2 linked regions of the Saccharomyces cerevisiae S288C genome follow. Changing the gene in region 1 together with any one later gene gives a genetic interaction. Each region holds a gene or a part of one and is shown in the gene's direction. Other genes may lie near its edges.

Region 1 (7,994 bases):
TTAATGTGGCCGCTGTAATGATTCAAATCGATTGAACAACAAGGTTTGTTATGGTACTTTGATAAATAGTACGACAAAGATGATTCCGAAACCGAATCGGTGTACATTATATCAAGTTTCAAGCGCGCCAATCGAGTATTCCTTGAGTCTCCCAAATTTTCATCAATCCATTGTTTGACTTCGTCTTTAGATTTAGAAAGTTTGTAGGCAGCATCAATCAAGTTTGTGATCAATTCATAATCATCAAGGCCCTTTTCAATAAGTTTTGAACAAACTTCAAAAAGTTTTTGTGGAGAATTCAATAACTTGGTATGCTTCAAGATAAAGTTTTTCAAATACAAGTTTACTGAAGTATCAAAATTGGCAAAGGTAATCGCAACAATCTCTTCCGAGATTTCTCTAGATTGAGGGAATAGTTCATCCAACACCAAACAATAAACTATAATCTCTTGAACATTTTGAAATGGTTTCAAGTCTAACAAAGACTGGCGCGCTAGCCTGGAGAGCAAAATTTTCTTGGGATCTGAAAGAGTGTTTTCCTGAAACCTTGATACGGCTAAAATCGAGATTGCATTCCAAAAATAATATGCTCTTTTAGGCAGGTTTCCACTGTCACTGTATTTAGCTAGCTGTAGAGATGCTTTGCTCATTTGGTTATAATTGGAATCTTCCAATGCTTTCATAAACCAGTGATAAGACAATTCGTAGCTAGGGAATTTGAAATTTCCTCTTTCATACACGTGCAATGCTTCGTCGTATTTCCCTAACTCTACGAAGAAGTTGTGCAAAAACTCCAAGGAACGCGTGTCGCCCGTAATCGTTGTCCCTTTCAGCCCATATGGTTCTTCTAGCAGTTTATTGTAATCGAACTTACCAGGTGACTGCTTGAATTTAACATAGGTTTCCAAAATCTTGAAGTACAACGCATTGGGAAATTGTTTTTGCAATTGCCCCAGTTTTGCATAGCATTGTTTGAAGTTGGACCTGCTTACTAGTCCTAATATCTCCTCCTGTATCTTGTCGGACATGCTTCGATGCGATGATTGCTGTACCGAGCTCGTTATGTATCGTTGCTTCGCCAATGAATTCTGTTGCAGCTGACATTTATTATTTATTTTCCTAAAGCCCTCGGCGGTCCGTGGACAGTGATTTTCGTTAAAGGTGACTGAAAAATTTTAGATGCTCATCGCGATGGTTCTCAAAGAATCTATCACCTAAAAAGATACAGAAATTGCTATAATATTTACGAGTTAGAAGGTTACTTAGCCTTATTTTGCTTCACGTCTTTCTTTATACATTCGTCAGGTGTTGAAAGAGTTCAACCAAAGATGTCTTCTATCTACAAAGCCCTCGCAGGAAAGAGCAAAGATAATAAATCTGAAAAGAAGCAAGGCAATGTCAAGCAATTTATGAACAAGCAAAGAACTCTTCTGATTTCGAGTAGAGGTGTTAACTATAGACATCGTCATTTAATTCAAGACTTAAGCGGATTATTGCCTCATTCCAGAAAGGAGCCAAAATTGGATACTAAAAAGGATCTTCAACAGTTGAACGAAATCGCTGAGTTGTACAATTGTAATAATGTTCTATTCTTTGAGGCCAGAAAACACCAAGATTTGTATCTATGGTTATCCAAGCCGCCAAATGGGCCAACTATAAAATTTTACATTCAAAACTTGCATACTATGGATGAGTTGAATTTTACAGGTAACTGTTTAAAGGGTTCTCGTCCGGTATTGTCGTTTGATCAACGTTTCGAATCCTCCCCACACTACCAATTAATTAAGGAGTTGCTAGTGCATAATTTTGGTGTACCACCAAATGCTAGAAAATCTAAGCCATTTATTGATCACGTCATGTCCTTCAGTATTGTAGATGATAAAATATGGGTGAGGACATATGAGATCTCACACAGTACTAAGAACAAAGAAGAATATGAAGATGGCGAAGAAGACATATCATTAGTGGAAATTGGCCCTAGGTTTGTTATGACTGTCATTTTGATCCTAGAAGGTTCATTTGGTGGTCCAAAGATCTATGAAAATAAACAATATGTTTCGCCAAACGTCGTAAGAGCTCAAATTAAACAACAAGCTGCTGAGGAGGCAAAGTCTAGAGCTGAAGCTGCTGTGGAAAGAAAAATTAAGAGAAGAGAGAATGTTCTTGCCGCCGATCCTTTATCAAACGATGCCTTGTTTAAATAATAAGCATAATACTATCAGAGAGTTTTACATAACATTGTATATTAAAAAGATATAACAAGAAAAGAGTGGATGTAGCAACTGTCTAGTTATAGACCTCTTTTTAATAATTTAATGTTTAAATCTTGAATATCGAAAGCTGTATATATAAAGAATATTTATTGTATGTACAAAAGATCTTCAACCGCGCAGCAATCAAGCTATATTTACGCATCTTGCTTTTCCGAATGTTTCTTTAAGTAGTTTTCAATGAATTTTTCCTCGTCTTTGTTGTCTGTTTTGATGTCGACTGTTTTTGGCTTTGCGCTTTTAAAAGGATTTGGAACAACCAATAAACCTAGCAGTCCTAATGTCCCAATGGCTAGTTGGTGTGGAGGGATAGCTTTCCCCATGAAATGATAAGCAGCACCCATTGTCGTAGTTATAAATTATTATTTGAAGTCACCTGGCCTTATTCAATGCTAACGAGTTATGTGCTCTATGGGGGGACTTGCTCCTAAAAAGCTCTTTTTTTTCCCTTTGCATCGAGAAGCGGACTCTGACCAATCACCATCGAGATCGCGATGAAGTATTTTCTATACCATATTTAGATATAAACCAAAATTAATGCTGGTAAGATGCAGTATAATGGGTTTTACTTATTTATGATTCATTCTATAAGCGCTTAATAAGTTTTGTAATCGCGTCACGATCTCAGTACACTCTTGACCTGAAACTGCTTCAAAGTAGTACCTTTTGATATCATCTTGCCCCTCTCTTCTTACGAAAATTTTGAAATGCTCAGGGACTCTTTTGGATTTTTTGACAAGAACCACTTGACTAATGTGTAACGACTTAGTCTTTACATTATCATGCCAATGTATACGTCCCTCCGGGGGTACAATGTATATGTAGTCGCCATCAATGGCTAGTGTTCTTTCATGCTTGTTTATAAATGACATTTGCTGCCTTCTCCATACCTTATATTTATGATACGCTCCGGTAAAAAGATCTTGGAAGTTATCTCCAACTCCATTTGGAGTGTCAGGCGTGTGCTCCATCGTACTCTGAGAACGGTTTATATTATGAAACTGCAGTGTCCCATGCAAAGAGGATTTGGATGAATTCTTGTTCTTGAAAAACCCATTTCCATTGGCGAGACCGCCAGCCGTTGAAACACTTCCACTAGCAACACTTGATGACGAATGCTGCTTTGCCAAGCCCAGCTTATACTTCGTGGATATCTTCTTAGCTTTGGATGTAACTTTCGTGTTTTCAGGAATGGCAGCCACAGCCCCTCCAGCATCTGCTTTGAGATAAGAGTTCAGAGGCTCCAAAGTTAACGGAGTTAGATCATTACTTTGGATCGTTGGCAAAACGGGCTTCTTTAGGTCAGGTTTCATTTTTTCCAAATGCAACTCCCTTGCATCTTTTTTAGAGATGAGTTCCACCTTATTAATACCATCGAGCCTTAATACCGTATCATTCAAGTCCAGTATATAGTTCTTTCCTAGAACTTTTAATGCATATTCATTAGGATCCATATTTTTCATTTTGCAATATTTTACCAAAATATCGTTTATATGTGAGGTCACTAAAACACTTATGGTAGTATAGTTAAATTTGGGATTCACGTTAGGATACAAATATACTGTTACATCAATGATTTTCGAACCGTTTGTCTTATCGATGTCGTCTTCATTACCTATAATAGGTTTGTAGAAACTTAGTTGGTTGATGGTTCCGTCAGTTGTATCGTGACTGCTGTTAGCATCCAAAGTAGAAGCATCCATTAGGCCCCCACCAGTTTCAAATGGTAAAGGTGTTTCAATTTCATTTTGAGACTTCTCGGCATCATCAACCTTACATAAAACAACTTCGCTGTCCGAAATTGATTGAATAGTGCTTTTTCTATCTAGTTTACCAAAGTTATCCTCAAAAGGTTCACCGTCTTCATCGACAATTTTCAAAGAGAAGTTATTAGGATTAGAAATGTCTTCAACTGTCAATCCATCTTCTTCAAAATTGTCCGGTTTTTTCTCAGTAGAATACAAAAATAAAGCAAATCCAATAACTTCGAAGATGGTAGACGATTTTCGGACTTTGGTAGTGAAGGAATTTCTTTTATATTTTTTGGAAGCTTGAATGTATATTTCGAGACCCATTGATTCATAATTTGGTACTTTATCTCCGCAAACAAATGAAAAATATTCTAACACATCTACAGAATTAGTATTTGTTCTCTTTTTCTTTTTGTTGAACATATTCGATAACTGTGAGGCCTTCGGTTTCGACACTAGATAATCGGTGGTTTTCTCAATAAGGATGTTCCCCTCTTTCGAGCTTTTATGGACACTTGATGGAACACTAGGTTGAGAATGGTCCTGCTTTAACGTCAACGTGCTCTTCCTTGCCCTATGCAATACACTGTCAGAAACCTTTGGGGCTTTCATGTGTTCACTACTGGCCGTCGATGAAGTTCTTCCATGTCCTCGTAAAAGAGGAGACCTTGTTGAAGTTAAATTCGAGCTAACAGAAAATTTTCTATTAGAACTGGTTAAGGATGTTGGCTCCTTTCCTGATATAACAGTATCGCGCCTTTCTTTTGGGTGTCGCGATGAATTCATAGTCAGTACGGCTTTATCGAAGACATTGTTTAAGGTAGAGTCATCATCGCCATGATAGATGCCATATTTTTGCATAGACATTGGTATGGAATGAGAGGGTATAGTATTAGTTTGCATGTCTGAATCAAGAGACATTTCACCGCTCTCCATGGTTGACGAGTCGTTATTAGAATAACGTTCTTCGGAATATTCAGATCCTAAAAGGGACTTCCCATATGATGAGCCAGGAGTGATTCGGTCACGATTTTGTGCATTGAATTCATTGCTATTACTGCGGCTGTCTTTTGAATCCCTGTTCATGACCGCCGTTCCATCATTTGTAGATTCATGTCCTCCCAAATCAGATACTGTTTTGTTTATGTTTGAGGTCACTGTATCAAAATTCAAATCATCTAAATCTTTTTCATTGATATAAGATTCCATATCGGAAATATTGTTGCTTTCCGTTTCCGTCAAACCGTCCCTACTCACCGATCCGTTACCGCTGGCGCTGCTTCCATCTCCATGTATACCTTTATTGGCATTCAGTGAATCAGATTTTTGTCCATCATTTTTATTGTCAGTTAAAAAAATTTTCCCCTTTTGACTTGTGGGGAAATGAGATTTTAACCTTGAAGCACTTCCTATATTGCCATTTGAACTCTCTCGATCATCAAGAATGCTGATGCTGTTTCTGTTATTTGTGTAGGTGTTGTTTTTATTGTTGGACATGCCGTTGATGCCTTTGTGGGCTGGACTTGCTCCAGAACCCTTAGCATCAAAATCATCATCTAACTGAAAAAATTGAGAGTGTATATCGTCACCTTCTTCGTCATCGTCGTCGTCATCATCTTCTTCTTCTAAGTTTTCATCGAAATCGAAGTTCATATCGAATTTACTGCCTTTCTTATTATGGCGAGCACCAGGTGGATGCAAAGTAGATGATTTTGCTCTTGTATTAGTTGTATTCATGACATTTTTATTTCCAGAAGTATTTGAGTGGTCCCTTCGACTTTTGAATATCCTCACGAAAGGAAGCGACGATCTCTTACTAGATTTCTTCTGCATTTCCATCGAACTATTTAAATATGAGTCTTCCTTTGAGGAAGTTTTGTGATGTTTTCCACTGGTATGGTCGTCATCATTTAAAAGAGAGTTCGACGCAGATGAATTAAGTGGATTATAACGAAGTGTTCCATTTTCTTCAACTATCAGAGTATTTTTTGCACTTTTATCTTGCAAATTTCGTGTTTCTTCCTCGTCTCTTTCAGTCTTCTCTGCTCCTATTAAATTCTGGTTAGCCTTTCCTTTTTGGCCTTCATTCTCCCTCATTATCCTCATTTTCCCTAATGAAGCATAGTTTTCCATAAAATCCTTAGATACCGGTGGAGACTCTAGTTCAGGTAACAAGCTTACGCCGTCTGAGTTCATATATAATTCACGGATAGAAGAATCTAAGCACTGCTCTGTGTTGAATTCATCTACGGGTATGTACGGTTTTATTATTCTTTTCATTTGATCTTTCTCCGGACACACTCGTAGAAACTGAGCCCGCAGTTCATTTAATACCGTCACCGTGTCCATTATCGTCTTATTATGGTGTGGTGGGGGTTTTACAAACACTGTTTTATTTAGTTTTCCTGTTCAGTAGCCTGTATCTATTGAGAATTATTATACCGTATATTTTTTGACGCGGGCTGATATGTAAGGTCGGCTAAAAAAAAGAAAAATTTCAAAAGTTAAACTAACCTCATCGCAACCACAATCCATTTAAAGCCTGGTTCTAGAGGCTTCATAGACGTTTACAGATTTAATAAAGTAGATAGCGTACAGTTTTAATGGCTCTCTCTTCAAACTGGCAGGCACTATTAGCCTCCGAAAGCAATCCTACCTCCAATGGAAAGAATAAGCAATCAAATAGGAAAATCAGAAACGTTAAGAAAGTTAGCAAAACAGTAAATGTCAGTAGTACAACCCAATATGCCCCTCGAAAGCGCAAAAACGGCAGTAAAATTATGGACATGGTATATAACATGAACAAGGAGATTAGTAAGCATGAGAAAGACAAGCTCGAGGGAAAAGTGTTTGAATTCAACCCAAATAAAGCAAATACTAGTACTACTATTAAAGAGCCAGTAAAAGTGGGTATTTCGGAAGATACTCGTATTAATAGTAATAAGAGTAAAGAAATTGGGAAATACATCGCCATGGATTGTGAATTTGTAGGCGTTGGTCCCGAGGGTAAAGAGTCTGCGTTAGCTAGAATATCAATCGTAAATTATTTTGGACATGTCGTCCTCGATGAATTTGTTAAGCCAAGAGAGAAAGTTGTAGAATGGAGAACTTGGGTTAGTGGTATTAAACCAGAGCATATGAAAAATGCCATTACATTCAAAGAAGCTCAAAAAAAGACTGCGGATATTCTGGAAGGTAGAATTCTTGTAGGGCACGCTTTAAAGCATGATCTCGAAGCATTGATGTTATCCCACCCAAAGTCACTACTCAGGGACACTTCAAGACACCTCCCATTCAGGAAGTTGTATGCTAAGGGTAAAACACCCAGCTTAAAGAAATTAACCAGGGAGGTTTTAAAAATTTCCATTCAAGAAGGTGAGCATTCTTCAGTCGAAGATGCTCGTGCCACCATGCTATTATATAAAAAGGAAAAAACGGAATTTGAAAAAATTCACAGAAACACTTTCAACTAAGACGGTAGATGAATGGCCCCTTTTATTCTTACAATTAAAATGCATTGGTATGTACATTAGTCTATGTGGCGCTTGAATTTACTGAGCCATTCATTACACGATAGAATATATAAAAATTGTAGCTGTATAAAAGCAACCCACGTAACAAATTGCGAAAAATTAGCGATAAGAAAACCCTAACATGAGATATGTACATTCATGCTTACAGATAGATATTGATATTTCTTTCATTAGTTTATGTAACACCTCTAAGCAGAACATGACATCCTTGATAAAATCATTGTCATTATTCTCTTACGTTCATAGATATCTTCAGGTTTTACATCTAAAGGTATCATCATGTCGGAGTTCTTCGCAAATATACCAGAAGAAGTCACAATCGATAAACCTCTTTTGGTTAGACGTTCAATGGATTCTTCGTGAAGTTTTTCTAACGAATTAGACTCTGAATGCGTCACTAATAAGTTTAAAATATCGAAAGCAAGTGGAACACAATCCGA
Region 2 (5,739 bases), on another chromosome or scaffold:
CCACGAGGAGAACAGGTGGTGTAAAAAGTTAGCCTCATGGTTTATACCCCGAGATGAGACCATTATCAGTGTTGATGAGGAAACAATCATGGATGAAAGTACGGTCAATAGCAAGAGAAAATCCTATATGTATGAAATCAGGAACATGGTAATCAATTCGACAAAAGATTAGCCCTTTAGCCTTCTTATAACTGTTTCTTTACCGTTATCTTGAGTACATTCATTTCTCTTACATTCCAAAATTAGATAGAACCTTGAATCGTGTCAACTTTTCGCCGACATTTCGCGTCTGACAGAAAAAGAAATGTTGCAGAAAATTCGAATAGATGTTTCAAATGAAAATAGACCATGAGGGACACATTAACATTTCAAACAAAAGAGCCCTTGATGATTATTAAAACAGATCTTTATGGTTTGTTTAGCAAACACTTTGGTAATTTCATGAATATTTGACTAGCAGGAACAGAAAATCAAAAATGTTTAACCATGATTGGAAGTACTCCATTAATTCTAAGACTTTCGCCGATTTAAACATTGAATTATTTCGAAACCACAAGTTCAAAACTGTTTTAAATTACATAATAGGTGTAGTTGGGTGGAATGGATTAAAACTCGCCCTTTTTGTTTCTGACATTTACACATGTATCAAATTGCTGGCATTCAACTCCTGGTCAAACAACATCATCAAACCATACTTACCCTTTAAAATATCCAAATGGTTGTTTAGCGGTTGTATTTTAGCATCGATTGTGCTATTGATATGGGAGGCTATAGCGGGAATGAGGATTTACAAAACGGGAAATATCTCTTTGACTTATGTCAACAATTTTTCCAGAAACCTAAATTCAGTGCTCAATTATTCCAAGTTTTGTGTTTATAATATGATCGAACGAAAGGGTTTTCGACAGAAAATGACATTTTTTACTTTTTTTCAACTGAAAGATTGTATTAGATTAATCTTCACGGATACCCCAAGGCAAGTTATTAATGGTCTTACGCTGTGGTCAGTTCTCGTAACAGTAAATAAAAACGAGGATCTAGGCGATCTGGAATCATTTACCGGTTTGATCAACAAAATAAAGAACATTGGCCAGACCAATCATGAAGAAGCAGTGATATTGTCGCTGATGCTATTTTCCTTTATAATCTGGGCATTATTTGTCTTCAAGTTTCTGCTTGCTGTCATTTGCTCGATTTTTGTTTATTATAAAATAATCAATGATCAGGAATATAGCGGGTTGCGTGAGTACATTTGTGTTACCGTCAGCGAAAATGTTGATGAACTTGTTGAAAGACAAAGGAAAAAGGAAAATGATGACACGATTTATAAGACAGGTCTTCTCGAATCTCAGACTTTTGACGATTTTAAAGAAGTTGAAAATAAAATTGAAACATCTTTTAATGATACGTCATATGCTTCTAATAATGATTCTATGATTGAGCTAATAGAGAGAAGACCCGAATACAAAAGTCAGGATGTATGTGGGCCCATTCCCACAATGAAGAAAACGGAAACAATGGAATCGTTCGTTGACAATGGCAATCCACAATATACCACTAGATTCTCTGCGATTCTAGATTCACCATATATCAACAGCTATGAAAGTAATGATATAAAGAAAGCAAAAATACAAAGCAGAAGCGTAAATACTCCAAAATATGAGGATTTGTCTTCTTCTGACATTTTCAACAAAATACACTCTGCTGGACAATTAAAATCTACAACTTCTATGGAGTTTCACGGGCCATTAGATTCTATGCCAAATACAACAAACAACATCCGTAATTTTAATAGCAACAGTAGTAGACCTAGACCACCTCCTTTACAGACAAAAAGTTCGATTAATTCAAAAGCTGACTCGAATGATAATGGAAGGATTTATACACCAATGAAAGCGTACTTCAGGGAGCCTGATCTTCCGAGGAAGGGTTTGCTGGAAGATGAAGATCGTACATATAATTATACTTAATAGGCTGGCAAAAGCCCTTTGCATATTTCATGAATTAGATAGACGTGATTAGAAACAGCCGTTAGTATGTTTCTGATAAAAATAATACTTTTTTTGTAACACTATTTTCATATATTGGATTGATACCGGTTATAGCACAAACATAACAGCCATGAAAGTTTCTTTGAAAACCCCTTTTAACATTTGCTTGTAAGAGATAGGTTAATTTTTTATAGTTGCTGAGATTCCATTGTTGGTAAAGACTTAATATTAGGTATACAGAATATACTAGGAGTTCTCTCTGGGTATGTAGGAATCCACAAAAGGGTGTCACTAGTTCAACATAATAACATCTTTTTTTTATTCCTTCTTTGATATTTTGTCATATTATCCTATTATTTTATCAATCCTTGCATTTCAGCTTCCAATAGATTTGATATTTGTTTCTCAATATTATGTCATCTTCATACACAGTATGTGATAATATACTAGTAACATGAATACTACTAAATGAGTACTACCTTAGGGGTTCATTACAGCAGCTTAAGCGAAAGTAGAAAATGAGGCGGATATTTGTTGGAATAAAAATCAACTATCATCTACTAACTAGTATTTACGTTACTAGTATATTATCATATACGGTGTTAGAAGATGACGCAAATGATGAGAAATAGTCATCTAAATTAGTGGAAGCTGAAACGCAAGGATTGATAATGTAATAGGATCAATGAATATTAACATATAAAATGATGATAATAATATTTATAGAATTGTGTAGAATTGCAGATTCCCTTTTATGGATTCCTAAATCCTCGAGGAGAACTTCTAGTATATCTACATACCTAATATTATTGCCTTATTAAAAATGGAATCCCAACAATTACATCAAAATCCACATTCTCTACAATATTGATTTCCATCGTGTAAGTTTTCTGCACGAAGTTTATTCATTCAATTTGAAGTGCTTCGTAATAATATTACTATGCAACTTAGGTACCTCATATTTCTTAGAGTTCAACCAAGTTGGTTCCGTTGGCGTAATGGTAACGCGTCTCCCTCCTAAGGAGAAGACTGCGGGTTCGAGTCCCGTACGGAACGTTGATTATTTTTTTTTTTTCGTTTCTTTATAGAAAAAATTCAGACGATATTACCTTGCGATGAGATAATCTTACCGCAGAAAGAGTGCCACAGTGGTAATAACTAGTTGAAGGTTCATATTATATAAAAAACTCTAAGAATAAAAATGGTATCTAGTGCAGTTAAATGTGGCATATGTCGCGGAGTTGATGGTAAATATAAATGTCCTAAATGTGGCGTACGATATTGCTCCTTGAAATGCTATAAAGATGCTGCAAAGCATGTTCATAAGGAAAGCGAACAACCCAGGGCTGGTACAGAAGCTAATGTGGAAGTTGTTAATAACGATAAGATCATAAACAGTTCACTCGCAATGAATAAAACATTAAAGACGAAGGCATTCGATGATATATATCAAAATAGCGCAGAATTGCAAGAGCTGTTGAAATACAACACGGTGAAGTTCCATTTGGCAAAGGTTTATAGAATTTTGTCCAGTACTGTTAACGATGGAAGTTCTGGAAAAATGAACAGCGATCTACAAAAAGAACTAGCTGTAAATTATTTGAATACATTACGATATGGTGGTATACATTATAATGAAGCAATTGAGGAATTTTGCCAGATTTTATTAGATAAATTAAATGCGGTGAAGAAATAAGAATTATCGTTGTTAGCATGATTTTTAAGATTGAGCATTTTATTCATTTTTAACCATATAATAGTGAAGGTGAGGACTAATAACAAAGTACTTGTTGAAAGGGTCGGGTTGCTTTTAGGTTTTTTCTTCTCGTTAAGGATTTCCCACTTGTCTGGCAAGGCGTCAAGCAGACTTGGAAAATAATGATATTATGTCAGAATTTTTGTGTGAGGCGCTTCTATTGCAAGTTTGTGACACCTTATAATAAAAGTGAACCATGTATTTACATATGATTAGGGAAAGTTCCACCATCATCTTATGATCTTCATGGCCGTTTTGGTCTTCTTTTTAACTTGAAGTCCAACTTGGCGACTGTACATATATACATATATATAGCAATAAGTATAACAAGGCAACAAATCAGGTCCCATTATTTAATTTGAAGTCATCTACTGCCCCATAAGAACCTCTATATTATCAGTAGATTCTTTCTTTTAGGGAAATCGAACCTCGATATTGTAAGAGAAACCCGCGCCACTCCTAAAAAGGTATTTTGAAGGAGAGGATGATTTGGAGCAACATTTGGTACACTTTATCCTCAGTTTTTCGCTAACTACCTCGCAACTTGTTGTTGTGGATGAAATTTTTGATATTAATTTCAATAAATAAAATATATGCAAATATCATTATAATTTGTCAAGTGCGGGAAATAGACTATGCAGTGATTTAGTGTGCAAGTTTGCCCACTTCACATTCATACCAAATATTTCTTCCCACTCATTTTTATCGTATTAGCACTACATACGTGACTTTTTAGCTCAGCTTTCGGACTGGATAGCTTTACTGACTTACTTTCTACAAGCGATATCATTCGTCACAGTACTCCAAAGAAGTCTGGGCATTTAATTTTCTTCTTTATCAAGTCCGCCATTATGAAGGAATGTATTGGGTAATAGTTGACATACCGATGTTCTGCTGGTAGCATCGATGAACGAAAATAGGTAACGGCTTGCCGCTGAAGATATTGGAAATGAGACAGATCATTCTAGGGTAAAATGCGCTGTAGAGCTAGCGTCAATTGCGATTTTCGAACACTGGCTGCAGGTATTTCTGTTTTCTCGGCTTTCATTATAGTAATGTGAAGCTACTAGGAGAATCACGAAACATCTTTTTAGTAGGATGAGAACACCACGCTCTCCTAACTGGAAGTAATTTTTGGTATGCTTAGAGATCTGTTCCTCTCTTATGACTTCTTTTTCGCCTACTATAAACTTAATATCAACATATTTAGTTAGTTTTTTCAGAGCAATACGTGTTTATTTTTTCACAACTTCGCATGGCATTATGTATCATTGCAGCGTAAATTTTTACATTTAGTAATATCTAATAACATATACACAAAAAAGGGACAGATTTTTGAATTAAATAAACCAAGCGTAAATCAGTATTGCTCTTACCGCAGTAGGGGGAGTTATCTACTCCTGCTTAACGTAGAGAAACAATAGTAAAAGTTATGCTTGTGTTGGAATAAAAATCAACTATCGGCTGGCAACTAATAGGGACACTACCAATATATTATCATATACGGTGTTAGACGATGACATAAGATACGAGGAACTGTCATCGAAGTTAGAGGAAGCTGAAATGCAAGGATTGATAATGTAATAGGATAATGAAACATATAAAACGGAATGAGGAATAATCGTAATATTAGTATATAGAGATAAAGATTCCATTTTGAGGATTCCTATATCCTCGAGGAGAACTTCTAGTATATTCTGTATACCTGATATTATAGCCTTTACCAACAATAGAATCCCACCAATTATCTCAAAATTCACCAGTATCTTAAAGAGAATGTGGATTTTGATGTAATTGTTGGGATTCCATTGTGATTAAGGCTATAATATTAGGTATGTAGAAAGTACTAGAAGTTCTCCTCCAGGATTTAGGAATCCATAAAAGGGAATCTGCAATTCTACACAATTCTATAAATATTATTATCATCATTTTATATGTTAATATTCATTGATCCTATTACATTATCAATCCTTGCGTTTCAGCTTCCACTAA

What was found.
Region 2: mutations in REX4 (region 1) and HIT1 together harm fitness more than expected from each alone (negative genetic interaction), as found in Saccharomyces cerevisiae (one large-scale study listed by BioGRID).

Annotation. Positions count from the first base shown.
Region 1 is NC_001147.6:180,058-188,051, reverse strand, and holds REX4 (putative 3'-5' exonuclease), read left to right. Parts: upstream 1-6,624; coding exon 6,625-7,494; downstream 7,495-7,994. Other genes in the region: MDM20 (Mdm20p), read right to left, coding at 1-1,028; ribosome biogenesis protein BRX1, read left to right, coding at 1,329-2,204; ATP19 (F1F0 ATP synthase subunit k), read right to left, coding at 2,408-2,614; AVO1 (Avo1p), read right to left, coding at 2,840-6,370; Ras GTPase activating protein IRA2, read right to left, coding at 7,743-7,994. UniProt on the Saccharomyces cerevisiae protein: Exoribonuclease involved in ribosome biosynthesis. Involved in the processing of ITS1, the internal transcribed spacer localized between the 18S and 5.8S rRNAs.
Region 2 is NC_001142.9:535,580-541,318, forward strand, and holds HIT1 (Hit1p), read left to right. Parts: upstream 1-3,192; coding exon 3,193-3,687; downstream 3,688-5,739. Other genes in the region: BFA1 (Bfa1p), read left to right, coding at 1-172; KCH1 (Kch1p), read left to right, coding at 477-1,970.